Schizosaccharomyces pombe: one gene and its partners. Changing the gene in region 3 together with the main gene of any one other region gives a genetic interaction. Each region holds a gene or a part of one and is shown on either strand. Other genes may lie near its edges.

Region 1 (3,111 bases), 1.1 Mb from region 3:
TTAGGGTTGCATTTGTTCCACACTAGGATACCCCATAACAAAACGGCGATAATGGTAGTGTAACCATAAATAATTGATGCTGCAGAGATCAACTTTTTTATAGAATAGCCACTTGTACCATGCCCTGTGGCATAACGAGCGTATTCGGTAATTGAGTTGGAAAAGAATAGAGCCTGTATAACCGTAGTGGTTATCCAAAAAGGACCGTATAAATCGGGACGATCATCTACAACATCAAAGAAATTTACAGTGGGAATAAGAGTATGTATACATCGTTGAACCACATCTTTAGTTTCCACGTTAAATGAATCTTTGATGGTCCATGGCGTCTCTTGCATGGATGCGCGACGAGATTGTAATCTAGGGGCCGGAGGCTTTGTAATGGGAGTTCTCTGCTTATAAAGGTCTTCAGCCTCAAATGTTGTACGACCTAGGTCAGCTTCCGAGTCAATTTCAATCTCATGTGCCATAGTGGTGGTTGGATACTTGTAATGGCTTAGGGTGAACAAAGAAGTTTACTTATTGGAGGCGCTAATTGCATACAGATTTGGTATTGTGAATAAATTTAAATGCATGAAATGTTATTTAATTAAAGAAACTAATTCAGAAAAATAAGATGAAGCTTCTAATTTTGAGATTTGCTGCTTTTTCCAAATCTTAGTCTAGGTTAATTTGATCGTGAAATTTAGAGTACAGCATTGATTTCAACTCTTGAATGCGGGTTTCGTCTTTTTCCATGGAAGATCTTAATACGTCGACTTGCTTTTCCAAACTTTCTTCTGACTGCTCAAGCTGGTCAAGGAGTACAGGAAGGGAAACTTGGAAAAAGGCATCGCCAACCTTTAAAGCTGGAATATCGTCTCCATCATCCTCGTCTAGTAATTCACATTCATTTTTAGCGTCAACAATATCCTCTATTTGCGTTTTTAAATTCTTAATATCAAGTTCTTGAATGGCCTTTCGAGAATGCAACACTGAAAATTCATTTAAATTCCTTTGATCTTCTGCTAGAACAGGAACTTGTTCCATATTTGTTGCTAAGGTGTGTTAGGAGGAATAGTATATAACCCGGTTTCGTTTGTCTTAACAAACAATTGTTGGTGTAGAGATCAATGCGGTCAAGTAGAGGTTTAAGTGGAACAGTTGAATGATATGTCAAAACAGAAGGATTATTAATTAGTATAGTATTTTATCTACAAATTTAAAGAACAAAAGCTATTTTCTACAATTGAGGTCTTCAGATCCGTAATGTTTTTGCTGTCAAATAACAGGTCAAAATTTTACTATAGATTCACAGGGTATTATAAACTAAAACCAGAGAATACGGATTAAATTGACTTTTAATTTAGTTTTAATCATGGGGAATAATATTTAATAAGACAAAGTCTTAGCAAGCATACCCGTTTATAACAGGTTATCTTTAGGATTTTTCGGCATCGTCAACTGCTTTTATTATAGGCTGAGTTAGCGGAGAAAGGACTTGATGAATATATAGCAACCAAAGAGAGAGATACTTGGGATCCTCTTTGTCTATCTGAAGCATTTCGAAATAATCACGCGTACGACATGGATGGATATACCATGCTATGCCTACTGTACCTGGACAGTCCCCAATAGCAAGAGCGTCATATGCTAAATTTTGACTGGATCCTTCTAATAACTCAAAAATCTGTTCCATCTTGGTAAGAGGATCTGATCCGTTTGCATAAGGTTGAAAGAAGAACTGCGGGACTTCGAAGGATGGAGAATCCCTAATCCAGGCGTGCATAGTGATCATTGGATTCATAAGGCTTAAAATATCATCTTCTTCCTGCTCGTATAATAAGGAATCATTTTTATCAAGTAGCTCAGTATGCCATTCTAACTTCAAAATACACTCATCAAACTCAATCAACTCACAAGAAATACCACCTTTCGACAGCTTCTGAGCAAGGATAAGTAATTGAGACTTAAAGCTCATTATTGTCACGGTTAGCCAATTTAATCACTTTATCTTTGCTAAAGCAATAAGTAATTGAAGAAGGAATTATTGTCCCATAAGCCTGGCTACAGTCTGATTGTTCAACGCACTATTCCAATGAGGGCAATAGAGGCAATCACCTGTCAATATATTTGAAGTTAAGTCTCGACAAAAATGGTGTTTCAGTTATTTACAAGTATATTAATTCTACATCTTGCTTCTAAAGTTGACAATAAGAGTATGACAAAACAGTACGTTGGAGTTTACAAAGTTATCCAACAATATAGTGGTACACTGTGTAGTTACTACGTTTTCAACATTTCTTCTCAGCAAATGTAGGATTTCTTAAAAAAATAATTTTTTCGACTAGAAATTGGCGGTAATCAAGAGAAGCTAATGTATAAAAACAATATGTTTGGACTTGGAAAAAAATGAAAAACTAAGGTTTTATATTAGTAATTTCCTCTTAATACTTATACGAGCAAAAGCAAAAGCAAAAGCACTGTTCCAATGGTGCTTATAAAGCCAACTGATCTGTGAAGTAAAATTGAGATATGTGTGTAAAGCTGTTAGCAACATCAATGTCACCATTATATATTGTTAATGGGCATTACGACTTTAATCATATCTGATATGCACATATAAAAGAAATTCTCTTTTAAGGGCATGGAACGTCCTCTCAATTAGTAATTCGGAGACATTCATGTCGTTAATGTGGTTTACCGCACAGTGATTCGACTTTCTTATTGACGGCTGCCAAACACTTTACTTACATATATGTTGTTGTACAGCTTCTTACATCAACGCTAAAATATATATACATTTCCAATTTGAAACATCGTAAGGCGTTGGATCGTTCTTATCAGCGTCTAAAAAAGTAAAGAATTTGTCAAGGTCTATTATTTAATTGCTGTTTTCTTTAGATGCATGCATTATCATCAGGAAATTGATCCGTCTTTATGGTTGATGATTCTCTAAAGGATGCTATAGCAGGAGGAGCTGCTGGATTGGCCTCTTCTCTTGTAGTGGCACCTTTAGATGTAGTAAAAACAAGAAAGCAGGCACAAAAGGCTTTTTATTCAACTGGTGGTGGAAAAAATACAATGGTTTTGGGTGGGACCCTCAGTTCGATGCGAACAATTTTTCACAAT
Region 2 (3,046 bases), 990 kb from region 3:
GTTTGATTCATAGTGGTATTGGAATGATGTTGTTCATTGTGTTTTTTAACTGTTAATCTGACATCCATTGAGTCATTCTTTACAATTTGTAAAATTAATTTGTATCACTAATTTTGAAGGAAGCTATTTTGGTATTAATACCGCTTTTGGTCTCCACTTCCTTTTCGAAACTCTTAACAGCGATTAGGCCGGGTATCTTCCAGTGTGATGTATAGGTATTTGTCGTTTTTTTATCATTTCCGTTAATAAAGAACTCTTTTATCCAGCTTCTTACACTGTCAACTGTTGTGAAAGGAACACATTTAGAATTTCATTTTCCTTATTTGTTGTGATTTAAATCGTTTGACATAATTTTAAATTTGGTTTGAAATGTGTGTGAGAAGGCTTGTTTTATTCATTTAGTTTATTGCTTGTTTGCACGAAAATCCAGAACGGAGCATTAATGTAATCCTTTTTTATTCTGTAAAGCGTTTTTATACAAATGTTGGTTATACGTTTCTAAAATAAGAATATTGTTATAATAATATAGTTTTTTCTATCATTTGTTACACACACTAAAGAGACATTAAGGATAAGCAAATGTGTTAAAATGATAATATATTTTGGAAACATTTATAAAGAAATTAAGCAGCTTTGACTAACTACATTTTTGTTTTTTTCCTAAGCAAAACTGTATAGTTATACACGCGAGCTGTATTCACTTCCATTGTAGTGACTTGAGCTCTCAAAAATTCCAAATCTTCTTTACATGCTTTCAATGTTTCTTCCGCTGAGTTCAGCTTCTGCGTTAACAATGCTTCTGCCTCTTCAACCGTATACTCAAGCATAACATTTGCACCTAACCAAAGGTAGACATTGTCTTTAGCTTCTACTTCTGCTTTTGCATTTAATGTGTCATTTAGTTCATATGTAACAGTAAAAGAGTCACCTTGTCGCTCTTTCAAGAACTGAACACTCTGTAACGTTTTTCGAATGTCAGGAATTTTGTCATCCAAACTAGCAACTCTCCTGACCACACTAGTCTCCATGAATTTGTACTTTCTAAATTACATTATATTAATATGAAATAACATATATATCCTTACGCAATTGCTTCTTGGAACTTTTCGAGATGACCTTGAGCTTCCTCCATAGATAACTCTTTGAACTCAAAAAATTGAGCGGGTGGAATTCCCCGTGGATTTCTATTCATATTAGTTATTTTTTTAAAAAGTATTATACTTCAGTACATACGAAGAACTCATTCTCTATGCAACAGAAAAAGGGGCGGTTGTTTTGAACAGGTAACTGAGTGTCAAAGGTAATAGGTATAGTAATGTTACAAATTTGGAAATGCGTATTATTCCCTAATTACCAAATCTAACCAAGTCTGAACTACACAGTCTAAATAGGCAGAATATTTTGGTTATACACATGTAATTGATAATTGTTGCAAAATCTATTCATCCAATTTACCAACCATAACCTGTATAGAACCATTGCGCAGCGTAATGCATTTTCATTTGAAAGTACTAGCGAGAGTTTTATATCACTAAACTTTTTAAACGTTTTTTAATTACTTGAAATCACATATTTTAGTTAAACATATTCTGTTTGGAAAAGGCAGTTTTGTTGAAAAAATTGTATTTGAAAGACAACTTTATAGAAGGATAGTAAGAAAGTTAATTCCTAAATGGTCTATATTGAACCAAAAATAGTTACATTAAAAAACGAGAGTCATTAAAAGAGCAGATAAATTTGACATTAGAACCACTTTGGAACATTAATCGAAATTTAATCAATCATACAAACAAAAAAATTACAAAGTGCTCGTTTAGGTCACTGATCAAGAAGGGCGGACGGTATAAAGTAATTTGAAGTAAAATCAAAAATGTCAGCGAATAATTTAGAGGGATCCTCCGTGGTTTCAGGTTCTGCATCTTGCATAGGCGGTTCATTTGGGTGTAACATACTGTTGATGAATCTTAAAACATATCCAAATCGGACAGCCATGCCATCATCAAATGTTACGATATCAACCATTCTTTCTTGTACATATAATGTTATGTCACCTAAGTCAGAAGGCACCTCAAAGCCTTTATCACGGCAAAACGCAGCCAACATGAGGGCGTGGATAATCTCCAACAACGCTACCAAAAGCCAGCCTCGTTTTTCTAATATAGTGATTTGAGATATGAGTAGCCTCACGCACTGAATACAACTTTCACCCAAATTACCAATAATAGTTTCTTCATCTTCTAAAATCCCTGAATCCAGGGTAATAAAACATTGATACAAATTCACACGTGCAGTCCAGAACACCATTTTCAAAAATATGTATCGAAATTGAATATCTTCATTAGAAGGGTCATAAAACTTTGCTTCTATATCTACCAAAATAAGCGAAAGCTGTGATTCATAACTCTCCAGTTTATCAATGAATTTACTAACGGTGAGTGAATGAACAGATTTATAGATTGAAACACCACAATCAAGTAACCTTCCAAGAAGTAGATGAAAATTGTAGCTAATATCGTCATTAAAAAAACAACGAAGCGGCTTGAGACGACCATAAGTGTCGTGTTGAATGAATGGCGGACGGTACTTTAATACACATTCCAAACCATCAATTTCACAGAGAGCAAACCACAAATCTGACGTATTTTTTCCTATTTTTTCCGTAACTTGGAAGAGGGGAGTTACTAAGGTTGATACGTGAATGCTTCTACATAAGTCAGTATTCACTCCTCTTATTCTTGTGCGAAATTTTGTTGCATACGCTCGCAAAAGCAGCATCTGAATTATTTCTTTATCAGGCAAGCATAAATGTTTATATTCCTGCTCGGATATCTCGTTAAGTTTTAAATTTATAAGACGGCTGGATTCCAATGGAGTAATCCCCGCCGAATTATAAAAATTGAGAATAACATCAGGCAAATCGCTCAGCTGGATAGTTGCAGCAATAATTGGTAATAAAGTGAAGGCATCTTCGTACGAAAAAGATTCTGGTGATTCAATGTTGTTTAAGCTTTTTTCTACTGTCTCTTGATCATAAATAGGACAGACA
Region 3 (3,764 bases):
TCACCGTTGTGCACGCCACATTTTAAATCGAGATTGGAAACTTGATACATTTTAATAACAATCCGTTAGATATAACAAACTTATTCATTTCATTTGTTCTGTTAATTTTGCAAAGTTGCTTTTTACTGCTTCGTATTAATTTCGAACAATCAAACTACTTATTCCGCAACACTATATGCTTAACCATCTTTTTTACGCTTATCATTTTCTTCTTCAACTGGTTTGATATCCATATTTTCACTAGTGCAAAATTTTCGATCATTCTAAAAATGAGTTCGAACAGTGCTGTTCAAAGCAAAAGTCCTTTGCTTCCTAAAGAAAATCCGCCTGTTAAAGCTTTTCCAGATAATATACAAGTTTCGTCCAGCTTATTGTCCTTCTTAATTTACATATTATATACTTTTTCTATCAGTGGTCTCTCGACTTTCGTTATTACAAAAGTAAGTACACATTCTTAGCAAGTTGTGGTTAGTTTTTATATTTACTGGTTCTTATTTACGTCCAACTCACCAAATTCTAGTATTACATACGTCCTCAATGGTTATACACATTGGCCCTTAGACGGGCACTCATAAAGCTTTATTACAATTTTATGGATGGATTCAATAAGCGGACTGATACATTACAACATCGGGTTGACGATAAAAAAATTTTAAAAACAATAGAAAAATGGAGTTGTATTAAAGAAAAATTGAGAAGAGTTGCCAATATAACTGAACAGGAGCAGCAGTGTATCCCGGCAGAAAGTTCGTTAGACCTGAGCATCCAGGCAATGAAAGGTGTCGTAAATGCAGAACTTTATCAGTTTGGAAGTCAAATTTCTGGATCTTTAGAATTTGATACTCCAATTGGCAATTTGCAGAAGCAAATTGTCTCTTTGAAGAGCAAAATGATTAATATCTGAATATTAAGGAACAACATAATAATTGCATGAATTCTCTGAATGCCTTATGTTGGTCCTACTGCATTCTATAGATAATAGTGTATTATATCTCAAAAAGAAAACGTATATATTTTAGATTACCGTTTTAGTTATCTTTGGGATAGATGCAAACGATCATAATTTTATACACCAACCAAAGATCTATAGTTTGGAGGGGCGTTTTGATATTCTTTAATAAAATATTCATCTTTATGTAGAACGAGATACCTAAATAAATGGTTAGTATAGTAGGGGAGTTTAAAAGCAGTAAACATACTTCAAGAATTCTTCAATGTAATTCAACAAACACTCGATGGATTGTGAATCCATATTAGTCCGGTCAATCAATTCAGGAAGGCTTACAAACAAGCGAATTAAATGTTCGACGCCATATAAATCACACATTTCAGTATCAGGATATTGCTGCCGAATTTCTAAATATTGCTGCCGTTCAAACCGATACAGCAGCATATTGCCCAAGCACTTATTAAAGTATATAACCAAACCAGCCATCGCTTGTTCAAAAACATCAACGTCTATTTCATTGTTCAAATGAGAAATCTTGGATTCTCGGAAGGCCGCTATAGCAGCCCGGACGGTGGGATTCCGCGGTATAGCTATTAACTGTTGATTTTTGGTAATGTTTTCCCAGTCATCAACAAGCCATAGCTTTAGAACGTCCGGGACACTAATCTTGTGTTTTGGAAGCGGTGGCTCTTCCTCAAAATCGTCTTTCTCGTTATTCTCGGGCTTAGTAGTTTCCTCGTTTTTAGCATCGGTTGTTCCATCGCGTTTCACTTGTTGAGGAATTGGAGACTCTGATTTTTGGGTTTTTATACGTGAAGGCAATTCATGTGAATCGCCATCAACCGTTACGGTGCTCGATTCTCGAGACCTCTTTCCTGATGTTTTAACTCCAGTTGAGTCATGTTTCGAAGTGCTGGATGCGGACTTTTTAGAAGTCGGTTTTTGTCTCGTAGAGATAGCGGCATTTTTTAACTCTTTCTGAGTCTTTAAATTTTCTTCTGTCCATTGTAGTATCCTATCTTGTTCAACCCATTCATCCCAACTGTTTTTCCATCCTTTATAATGAATCAGGTACGTGGTAACATCACCTTTCATTTCAGTATCAACAATTTTAGCCTCATAGAGTAACGGGCCGTGAAAGCATAGTACACGTTCATTCACCTTATATGACACGGCCATTCCAACAACGTTGTAGGTATGGTGGTGAGTTAGAAGTAAGAGGACGTGTGCCAAAACAGTACACTTAGCAAATTTATCCTACTTTGAAGGAGTTAGCTATTTTGTTTTAAAAATTATCTAGACCCATTAACAAACGGTGGGTGTAACAGGATACTATCTAAGCAACAAATTCATTCATCTGCAAAATGCTTGGAGAAAGTGCTATCAGTAAGTTACTGTTTTAGGATTTTTAATGATAAATTAAAAATAAACTTTCATTATGTTCAGCAAATACGTCCCAATACGCATTATAAAAAATGCTTTAGTCAAAAGGATACTTTAGGAAAAATTAGCTTTTCTACATGAGTTTTCATCAAATGCTGCGTTTCATTTATTCAATTTACTAATATCTCAAAGGTTGCTCATGAATATGGAGGAACAAATACTTAATGATTATCTTCTTTCTCAAGGGCGGTTGCAGTCTATTATAAGCTTAGAACAATGGCGGCAACTGTTTCCTCAGAGATACAGAGAAGACCCACTGATTGAGCGTTTATACGAATACTGTACACAACAAAGACAAAAGCGATTAGCAAAATTGAGAGCTAACATCCATCTCGAGAGTCAAGTTATCGGCAAAAGCAGAATAGATAGGATGTTGGCAACAAATGTTGAGAAACTGCAAACGGTCAGTCATGCCTCTACATTGCACGATGTAGAAGAATTTTACACATCACATAGTGCAAAACCGCTGGACATAAGTGAAATCAATGAGCGGCTTTCTGAAGCTGTGCAATCTGCTTATACAAAATTAAATGAGGAAAAAGAGCGCTGCACACAATTGACTCTTAAAATGAATAGGTATGAGGTTGATTAGGAATTTGGGTTGTTTTAATTGAGCTTTATTTAGCTTGCTAATAATTTCTTTCTAGTCAGATTGCATCCCTTAGCGATTTTCAATGGTCAAAAGAGCCAAACGTTGACGAGTCAATTCATCTTGTAGAATCTTTAATTGAAAGTTTAGAAAAGGCAGCACCTTCTGCAATAGAAGAATTAGACTAGGACCTTCAAACGTTAAGCTGTTCCATATTTATTCAATAATATAGCTTTAACGGGTATTTATTACAATGAATGAATTTTTTTTTCTTTTTAATAATTAAATATAACGTTATTCTGCACCTTTTTAATAAGATATATCTGTTCCTTTATAAACTCATTTCATTAAAACCTGTTCAAAGTAATGCGAATATATTTTCTTCAAAAGCATGCAGTATTTGTTCCATTTGACAAACTACATTTTAATAGAGTGATTAAAATCAGTTATCACTAACTTGTCGTAGCACGCATCCGAACCATGACTAACACAGTATAAAAGATGGAGCAAAATTTGCAAACATAGTTTGTAACACTTTCGCCAAATTCTTGATTAAATTAGGATAATATTCAATTTTCATTTTTCTTAGCATAGAAAGATTGAACTGTCAAATTTTTGGTGTCCGCAACATAATCTGGCATTTCTAGGATTTTGTTTACTTACTTGACTTCTATATAAGAACTTTTATACCAAACATGAAACGTCAAATTGACTATTCTTTATACCTTGTAACTAGCTCTAGTTTAATTGCCCCAGGTTCTACTATAGAACGTCAGGTGGAAG

What was found.
Region 1: of alp13 (region 3) and pfd4, changing one enhances a phenotype caused by changing the other (phenotypic enhancement), as found in Schizosaccharomyces pombe (2 studies listed by BioGRID, with this or other methods).
Region 2: of alp13 (region 3) and pfd3, changing one enhances a phenotype caused by changing the other (phenotypic enhancement), as found in Schizosaccharomyces pombe (2 studies listed by BioGRID, with this or other methods).

What each region holds. Positions count from the first base shown.
Region 1 is NC_003424.3:503,902-507,012, reverse strand, and holds pfd4 (prefoldin subunit 4), read right to left. Parts: upstream 1,105-3,111; 5' UTR 1,030-1,104; coding exon 658-1,029; downstream 1-657. Other genes in the region: yip5 (Rab GTPase-binding protein), read right to left, coding at 1-470; atg10 (autophagy C terminal domain family protein), read right to left, coding at 1,421-1,960; yea6 (NAD+ transporter), read left to right, coding at 2,920-3,111.
Region 2 is NC_003424.3:600,242-603,287, forward strand, and holds pfd3 (prefoldin subunit Pfd3), read right to left. Parts: upstream 1,278-3,046; 5' UTR 1,245-1,277; coding exon 1,234-1,244; exon of another isoform or gene 1,185-1,233; coding exon 1,086-1,184; intron 1,042-1,085; coding exon 642-1,041; 3' UTR 585-641; downstream 1-584. Other genes in the region: SPOM_SPAC3H8.08C (transcription factor), read right to left, coding at 1,819-3,046.
Region 3 is NC_003424.3:1,586,424-1,590,187, forward strand, and holds alp13 (Clr6 histone deacetylase complex, chromodomain subunit Alp13/Eaf3), read right to left. Parts: upstream 2,155-3,764; 5' UTR 2,129-2,154; coding exon 1,200-2,128; intron 1,151-1,199; coding exon 1,066-1,150; 3' UTR 905-1,065; downstream 1-904. Other genes in the region: SPOM_SPAC23H4.21 (uncharacterized protein), read right to left, coding at 1-50; SPOM_SPAC23H4.13C (uncharacterized protein), read left to right, coding at 270-440, 521-904; centromere localized protein Cnl2, read left to right, coding at 2,532-2,968, 3,040-3,169; thi4 (bifunctional thiamine-phosphate dipyrophosphorylase/hydroxyethylthiazole kinase), read left to right, coding at 3,677-3,764.